Linked DNA regions of Saccharomyces cerevisiae S288C. The protein of the gene in region 1 purifies or fractionates together with the protein of each later gene. This does not show direct contact. Each region holds a gene or a part of one and is shown in the gene's direction. Other genes may lie near its edges.

The links. Proteins that work in one complex are often made in the same cells at the same time.
Region 2: the proteins of RPG1 (region 1) and TIF5 purify together in Saccharomyces cerevisiae (affinity purification with mass spectrometry; 7 studies listed by BioGRID, with this or other methods). This does not show direct contact.

The regions. Positions count from the first base shown.
Region 1 is NC_001134.8:396,099-400,934, reverse strand, and holds the start of RPG1 (translation initiation factor eIF3 core subunit a), read left to right. Parts: upstream 1-2,657; coding exon 2,658-4,836. Other genes in the region: AAA family ATPase SEC18, read left to right, coding at 45-2,321.
Region 2 is NC_001148.4:646,086-650,303, forward strand, and holds TIF5 (translation initiation factor eIF5), read left to right. Parts: upstream 1-2,618; coding exon 2,619-3,836; downstream 3,837-4,218. Other genes in the region: SPO24 (Spo24p), read left to right, coding at 1-68; ERV2 (flavin-linked sulfhydryl oxidase), read right to left, coding at 363-953; IRC16 (Irc16p), read left to right, coding at 751-1,110; TIP41 (Tip41p), read left to right, coding at 1,220-2,290. UniProt on the Saccharomyces cerevisiae protein: Catalyzes the hydrolysis of GTP bound to the 40S ribosomal initiation complex (40S.mRNA.Met-tRNA[F].eIF-2.GTP) with the subsequent joining of a 60S ribosomal subunit resulting in the release of eIF-2 and the guanine nucleotide.

The DNA.
Region 1 (4,836 bases):
ATAAGAGCAAATAGTACCGTATATTCAGCCTTTATAAATTGAGTATGTTCAAGATACCTGGTTTTGGAAAAGCTGCTGCAAATCATACTCCACCAGATATGACAAACATGGATACCCGTACACGCCATTTAAAGGTGTCAAACTGTCCAAATAACTCCTATGCACTCGCAAACGTAGCTGCTGTCTCACCAAATGATTTCCCTAATAACATTTATATTATTATCGATAATTTATTTGTTTTCACAACTAGACACTCCAACGACATTCCACCGGGAACCATTGGATTTAACGGTAACCAGCGTACCTGGGGTGGTTGGTCCCTAAATCAAGACGTGCAAGCAAAAGCATTTGATTTATTCAAGTATTCCGGTAAGCAATCGTATCTTGGTTCAATAGATATAGATATCTCATTCAGAGCTAGAGGTAAGGCGGTAAGCACGGTATTCGATCAAGATGAGTTAGCCAAACAATTTGTTCGTTGCTACGAATCTCAAATATTTTCTCCCACCCAGTACCTTATCATGGAGTTCCAAGGCCATTTCTTTGACTTAAAAATTAGAAATGTCCAAGCAATCGATTTGGGTGATATTGAACCAACCTCCGCTGTTGCAACTGGGATAGAGACAAAGGGAATTTTGACAAAACAAACACAAATTAATTTTTTCAAAGGAAGAGATGGTTTAGTTAATTTGAAATCATCAAATTCATTAAGACCAAGATCAAATGCTGTGATCAGACCGGATTTCAAGTTTGAAGATTTGGGTGTCGGTGGTTTGGATAAAGAGTTTACTAAAATTTTCAGAAGAGCGTTTGCAAGTCGAATCTTTCCTCCTTCAGTTATAGAAAAACTGGGTATTTCTCATGTTAAAGGTTTGCTATTGTACGGTCCTCCAGGTACTGGTAAGACCTTAATTGCAAGAAAGATTGGTACAATGCTGAATGCCAAAGAGCCCAAAATCGTCAATGGTCCAGAAATTTTGAGTAAGTACGTTGGTTCTTCAGAAGAAAACATTCGTAATTTATTTAAGGATGCAGAAGCAGAATATAGGGCCAAGGGTGAGGAATCTTCCTTACATATTATTATTTTCGATGAGCTGGATTCTGTTTTCAAGCAGAGAGGTTCAAGAGGTGATGGTACCGGTGTAGGGGACAATGTAGTTAATCAATTGTTAGCTAAAATGGATGGTGTTGATCAATTGAATAATATTTTGGTTATTGGTATGACCAATCGTAAAGATTTAATAGACAGTGCTCTTTTGCGTCCAGGTAGATTTGAAGTCCAAGTTGAAATTCATTTACCCGATGAAAAAGGAAGACTCCAAATTTTCGACATTCAGACGAAGAAAATGAGGGAAAATAATATGATGAGCGACGATGTTAACTTAGCTGAGTTAGCTGCGTTAACAAAAAACTTCTCTGGTGCTGAGATTGAGGGTTTAGTGAAGAGTGCAAGTTCTTTTGCAATCAACAAAACCGTCAACATCGGGAAAGGTGCCACAAAACTTAACACTAAAGATATAGCAAAACTTAAAGTAACAAGAGAAGACTTTTTAAATGCACTCAACGATGTTACTCCCGCTTTTGGGATTAGTGAAGAAGATTTGAAAACATGTGTGGAAGGTGGAATGATGCTTTATTCCGAACGAGTTAACTCAATATTGAAGAACGGAGCCCGTTACGTCCGCCAAGTTCGCGAGAGTGATAAATCCAGGTTAGTATCTCTATTAATCCACGGCCCTGCAGGGTCCGGTAAAACAGCTTTAGCCGCTGAAATTGCTTTAAAATCTGGATTCCCATTCATCAGGTTAATTTCTCCCAACGAGTTGTCAGGCATGTCAGAAAGCGCAAAAATTGCCTATATTGATAACACTTTCAGAGATGCGTATAAATCTCCACTAAACATTCTTGTTATTGATTCGTTAGAGACTCTAGTTGATTGGGTACCAATTGGTCCAAGATTCTCTAATAACATTTTACAAATGCTAAAGGTTGCATTGAAGCGTAAACCCCCACAAGACCGTCGTTTATTGATCATGACTACTACATCAGCTTATTCGGTACTTCAACAAATGGATATCTTGAGTTGCTTCGACAATGAGATAGCAGTTCCAAATATGACCAATTTAGATGAATTGAACAACGTCATGATAGAATCAAACTTTCTTGACGATGCTGGTAGAGTTAAAGTTATTAATGAATTATCAAGGAGCTGTCCTAACTTCAATGTCGGTATTAAAAAGACCTTGACCAACATTGAAACCGCAAGGCACGATGAAGATCCCGTGAACGAGCTTGTTGAGTTGATGACCCAATCCGCATAATTATTTCAAATTTTTCATGTCCTTGTATTTTTATTCTTTATCCCTTCCAATCAGAAAGGATCTAGTGAACAAGTTCTTTCCTCTATGGTATATATTTTAGTGATAAATTTTATAAAATTATCAAAACCAAGGCATCCTTTCCTTTTATTCTGTCATTGGAATCTGCCTGTCATAATTATCACCCACCGGGTAAAGATGATAATTTTTCAGTCGCTTTGCCCGAGAAGCTTTGCCAGGTGAAAAATTTTTCTTGGTGAACTAAATCGAAAGTAGATATACTTACAACTATAGAGAGAGTTCCAAAATAAACCATACAAACGCCCAGGAAACATCAAGATGGCCCCCCCACCATTCCGTCCTGAAAATGCCATTAAGAGAGCCGATGAACTTATTTCTGTTGGCGAAAAACAAGCTGCTTTACAATCTTTGCATGATTTCATAACTGCCAGAAGAATCCGTTGGGCTACACCTTCAACTGTTGAGCCAGTCGTGTTTAAATTCTTGGAAATTGGTGTTGAACTAAAGAAAGGTAAGCTGCTAAAAGACGGTTTGCACCAGTACAAAAAATTAATTCAAGGATCTACCGAAGGTTTGGTTTCTGTCGGTGCCGTTGCACGTAAATTCATTGATTTAGTCGAATCTAAAATCGCTTCTGAACAAACTAGAGCTGACGAACTTCAAAAGCAAGAAATCGATGATGATTTGGAAGGTGGTGTTACCCCAGAAAATTTGCTGATTTCTGTTTACGAGTCAGATCAATCTGTGGCTGGTTTCAATGATGAAGCCATTACTTCATGGTTAAGATTTACTTGGGAATCATATCGTGCAGTCTTAGATTTATTGAGAAACAACGCTTTGTTGGAAATTACTTATTCTGGTGTCGTTAAAAAAACTATGCATTTCTGTTTGAAGTATCAGCGTAAAAACGAATTCAAGAGATTAGCTGAAATGTTACGTCAACATTTAGATGCTGCTAACTACCAACAAAGTAAATCAGGAAACAATTTAGTTGACTTGAGCGATGCTGATACCTTGCAACGTTATTTAGATCAACGTTTCCAACAAGTCGATGTTTCTGTCAAGTTGGAATTGTGGCACGAGGCTTATAGATCCATTGAGGATGTTTTCCACTTAATGAAAATATCCAAACGTGCTCCTAAACCATCTACTTTGGCTAATTACTACGAGAATCTCGTAAAGGTCTTCTTTGTTTCCGGTGATCCATTGTTGCACACTACTGCCTGGAAGAAGTTTTATAAGTTATATTCTACCAATCCAAGAGCCACGGAAGAAGAATTCAAAACATATTCTTCTACAATTTTCCTATCCGCTATTTCTACCCAACTAGACGAAATTCCATCTATTGGCTACGATCCTCATTTACGTATGTACCGTTTATTAAACTTGGACGCCAAGCCAACTAGAAAGGAAATGTTGCAATCCATTATTGAAGACGAATCCATTTATGGTAAAGTTGACGAGGAATTGAAAGAATTGTACGATATCATTGAAGTTAACTTTGATGTCGACACAGTGAAACAACAGCTGGAAAATTTATTAGTCAAATTGTCTTCTAAAACCTACTTCAGCCAATACATCGCACCTTTAAGAGACGTCATTATGAGAAGGGTTTTTGTTGCTGCCTCTCAAAAATTCACTACTGTCTCCCAGTCCGAATTATACAAGCTCGCTACCCTACCTGCTCCGTTAGACTTATCTGCTTGGGACATCGAAAAATCGCTGTTACAAGCTGCTGTGGAAGATTATGTTTCAATTACCATCGATCATGAATCTGCTAAGGTTACATTCGCTAAAGATCCATTTGACATTTTCGCATCAACTGCTTCTAAAGAAGTCTCTGAAGAAGAAAACACAGAGCCAGAAGTCCAAGAAGAAAAGGAGGAAACTGACGAAGCTCTTGGGCCACAAGAAACTGAAGACGGTGAAGAAAAGGAAGAAGAATCTGATCCTGTTATTATCCGCAATTCTTACATCCACAACAAGTTGCTTGAATTATCCAATGTCCTACACGATGTTGACAGTTTCAACAATGCTTCATACATGGAAAAGGTTAGAATTGCCCGTGAAACTTTAATTAAGAAGAACAAGGATGACCTTGAAAAGATTTCCAAGATTGTTGACGAACGTGTCAAGAGATCTCAAGAGCAAAAGCAAAAACATATGGAACATGCTGCCCTACATGCTGAACAGGATGCTGAGGTCAGACAACAGCGTATTTTGGAAGAAAAAGCTGCTATTGAAGCTAAATTGGAAGAAGAGGCTCACCGTCGCTTAATTGAAAAGAAGAAACGTGAATTTGAAGCTATCAAAGAAAGAGAAATCACAAAGATGATTACTGAGGTGAATGCTAAGGGACATGTTTACATTGACCCTAACGAAGCTAAAAGCTTAGATCTTGACACCATTAAACAGGTTATTATAGCTGAGGTATCAAAGAACAAGAGTGAATTGGAAAGTCGTATGGAATATGCTATGAAGAAGTTAGATCATACGG
Region 2 (4,218 bases), on another chromosome or scaffold:
CCGCTCTTTTGGATGCCTCTGCTTCAAGCCGCTCACACTCCAGAAAAAACTCTTTGTCTCTGTTGTAAGTGTTGTACACGAGAATTAGCACACTATTAGCATAAAAGACACTTGGCATCTTTACTTACTTGGGCAAGTAAGTCACGTACTTTTTTTTTTTTTTCCGGAGCATTCATTGTCATTCTATCTGCACTTTCCCGCACTTACATTCAATAACCTCGGATCGGGTCTCTTCTACGACAGAAACTTTTTGATATATACATATTTATGTAATATAAATACTGAGAAAGTAAAAAAATTTAAAATATAAAATAATAAAAAATTTACTATTACTATAATTGATTAATGTAATCTTTCTTTGTTCAACCGTGCTGTTTAGCCTCCTTCTCGAGAGACACGCGTTTACCGTCGCTGTCACTACATCCACAATCGTAGTCCTCCAGGATGGTAGCACAGTCATATATGTCTTTCTTTAGGTATTCGTTCACCTTGTTGTGAATGTGGCATCCCCACATTGCGGCAGCCGTCCTGCTAGATGTCTGTACGGGATACTTCTCAATCAACTTTACAAAGTGATATGAACATTCCCCGCATGGATAGAGTTCTGCATACAACCCAATAAACGTGTGCAGTTTCTCTCTTTCTTCAGGAGTAGGCTCGTCCGGAAAACGGGCCAGCAGGGTATGGAAGTACTTCCACGACGCCCTGCCCACTTCCTTCTTCACCTTGTCATCGCCCATCAATGGCATAATGGTTTGCTTCTCGATCTCTTTCAACCGAGCGTCGTTCTTCTCAGCAGCCGCCCCTTGCACTTCATCTATACCAGACTTCGCCTTGATTAGGCCCGGCGTAGCGATGGATAGTTCATTAGACGAGAAAAACATCCACAGGCCTATGATTCCTAATGCTGCAACTATTCTGATGGCATGGCTTCTTTTGACTATCTGTTTCATCCCTTCGTTCCTTGCACAATCTGTCCAGACTTTCCTCTTTACAAATCACCAGCCTTCCCGTCTTCTTGTCTTCATCACCCACGTTTATTGTTTAATGATAAAGCCTTTTGTCCTTTATTTTTGGTTCCTTTTCCCGCTTCGTTTACCCGGTGGTTAACCTTTCTCTTCCATCTTGTAATATATAATAACAAAATGCATCACCATACTTACGCACCCCATATACATGACCTAAGGGCAGCTTTAGACACAACAGCTCCCCAGAAAAAATGTCCAAAAGAAACACTCCACCGCTCAGATCATCAGGGATAAACACTATTCAAATAAATGCTGCTAGAGAAATGCACGCTCAAACGGTGCGCGCTCGAAGAATGCCCATGCCAACTAGCGGCATCACTACACCCTCTGTGCAACCAACTGCAGCCCCAGCAACACCACCTCGACATATTTGCAATAACCCAAACAATCCGCAGTGTCTCCACTGTGGGTCTGTTATCATTCCATCTCCAAGGGCCACGTTACCCTTGGAGGACAACCCCTCCATCTCCATCAACGACTGGACCATCTCCTCCAGAAAGAAGCCCATTTTGAACTCGCAGGAATTAGACATCTGGGAAAACGAAAAACTCAAAGGTTTGACTTTGCCAGAGATGATTTTTGGTAACAACTACATCAGGATCGAAAATTCAAAACAGCATTGGTCCATAGAGTTCAATGCCCTGGATGCTTTAAAGGAGGTTCAACTCCAGGATTCAGGTATTCGTGTTGCGTACTCAAACGACTGGATAAATTCTAAAAAAAGACAAAATTCAACTAATGGTGCGCAACGGTTCACTAACGATGTGAACGACGATTCCTTAAATATCATACACAAGTACGACTGGACCTACACTACGCGGTATAAGGGCACAGAGAGCTCACCTGAGTCGAAATTCCGACTGGATAACGATCAAAAGCTGCCCCTTGACAAACTGGCCGTACACGATAAAATCCTATTCTATGACGACATGATTCTTTTCGAAGACGAATTGGCAGACAATGGCATATCAATCCTTAACGTCAAAATAAGAGTTATGAACGAAAGGTTACTGCTGCTGAGCCGGTTCTTTTTAAGGGTGGACGATGTTCTGGTGAGGGTCTACGACACCAGGATTTACGTGGAGTTTGACGAAAACGTAGTGATCAGAGAATCCAAGGAATTTGAAGGTAAATATCAGGATGTACTTGCTAAGCACCGGCTATCCCAATCTCACGACCCAAAAGCTGCCTTGAGAGATAGTAATTGGGTAGCACAGAACACGCCGATGATCAAAAGACAATGTGAAATAATTCAGTTCTAACAATCAAATATACAAAACAATACGTACAAATACATACACGTCACATATACATAAGCTCCGGATACATCATACAAGAAATGATCTTAAAATCATGCTCTTACCCGTTCTGTAAATAGTGAAAAATTTTCATCGCGAAGTATGAACGAAAAAAAAAAAAGAAAATAGATGAACTTTTAGCATTTAATTAGTGGCAAACGCCTACCCCTCCTTCCCACTTTGCTGACTTACAAAGACACCACTACATTAAAGAGTATCTCGTGTGTTCTTCTTTTTTTTCCAAAAAAAAAAACTCCTATTATTTGCATAAACACACGTTCACTGGTACAAGATGTCTATTAATATTTGTAGAGATAATCATGATCCATTTTACCGTTACAAAATGCCTCCCATCCAAGCCAAGGTGGAAGGTAGAGGTAACGGTATCAAGACTGCCGTTTTGAACGTCGCTGACATCTCTCACGCGCTAAATAGACCTGCTCCATATATTGTCAAGTATTTTGGTTTCGAATTAGGTGCTCAAACTTCCATCTCTGTTGACAAAGATCGTTATTTAGTTAATGGTGTTCACGAACCTGCCAAATTGCAAGACGTATTGGATGGCTTTATTAACAAGTTTGTTCTCTGTGGAAGCTGTAAAAATCCAGAAACGGAGATCATCATTACCAAAGATAATGATTTGGTTCGAGACTGTAAAGCCTGTGGTAAGAGAACTCCAATGGACTTGAGACATAAACTATCATCCTTCATTTTGAAAAACCCACCTGACTCCGTTTCTGGTTCCAAGAAGAAGAAGAAAGCAGCTACCGCTTCGGCCAATGTTCGTGGTGGTGGGTTGTCCATTAGTGATATTGCTCAAGGTAAGTCTCAGAATGCACCTTCAGATGGCACCGGCTCATCCACTCCACAACATCATGACGAAGACGAAGATGAATTATCTCGTCAAATCAAGGCGGCTGCCTCTACCTTAGAAGATATCGAGGTCAAAGATGACGAATGGGCGGTTGATATGTCTGAAGAAGCCATTAGAGCTCGTGCCAAGGAACTAGAAGTGAACTCTGAGCTCACTCAACTGGATGAATATGGTGAATGGATTTTGGAGCAGGCTGGTGAAGATAAGGAGAACTTACCATCAGATGTGGAGCTTTATAAGAAGGCTGCAGAACTAGACGTCTTGAATGATCCAAAAATTGGTTGTGTCTTGGCGCAATGTCTATTCGATGAGGATATCGTAAACGAAATCGCTGAACATAATGCATTTTTCACTAAAATTTTAGTCACTCCAGAATACGAAAAGAACTTTATGGGTGGTATTGAAAGATTTTTAGGTTTAGAACATAAGGATCTAATCCCACTATTACCAAAAATTTTGGTACAACTATACAATAATGATATCATCTCGGAAGAAGAAATCATGAGATTTGGTACCAAATCATCCAAGAAATTTGTACCTAAGGAGGTATCCAAAAAGGTTCGTAGGGCTGCTAAGCCATTCATTACGTGGTTAGAAACCGCTGAAAGTGACGATGATGAAGAAGACGACGAATAGCTTAGGAGGGGGCAAAAGACTTATGTGTAAATTATTATATGACATGGCGTAAGATAAGGATTATGTTCTGTTGTTTTTGAGCTCGTTGATGTATAGATATGTAAATATTTATAAATATAATATTTCTTCCAAGTGCGACATACTTGGTACTGGCAAAAAACAAAGATGAGACTTTTAAAGCCACTGATTGATTGATTAATTATTAAGTAAAAAAAAAAAAATAAAATGTCGGTGTAATTTGGCTCCACGATCGCATGCGTATACATAACATGAGATTACCGAAGATTTTTCTGAAAGGTAATGCATTATATTATAATCATTAATAGAAGTAGAGCCTAAAGCCTGTTGAAAACTTGTACAATAGAGGAAAAAAAAAGGGTCA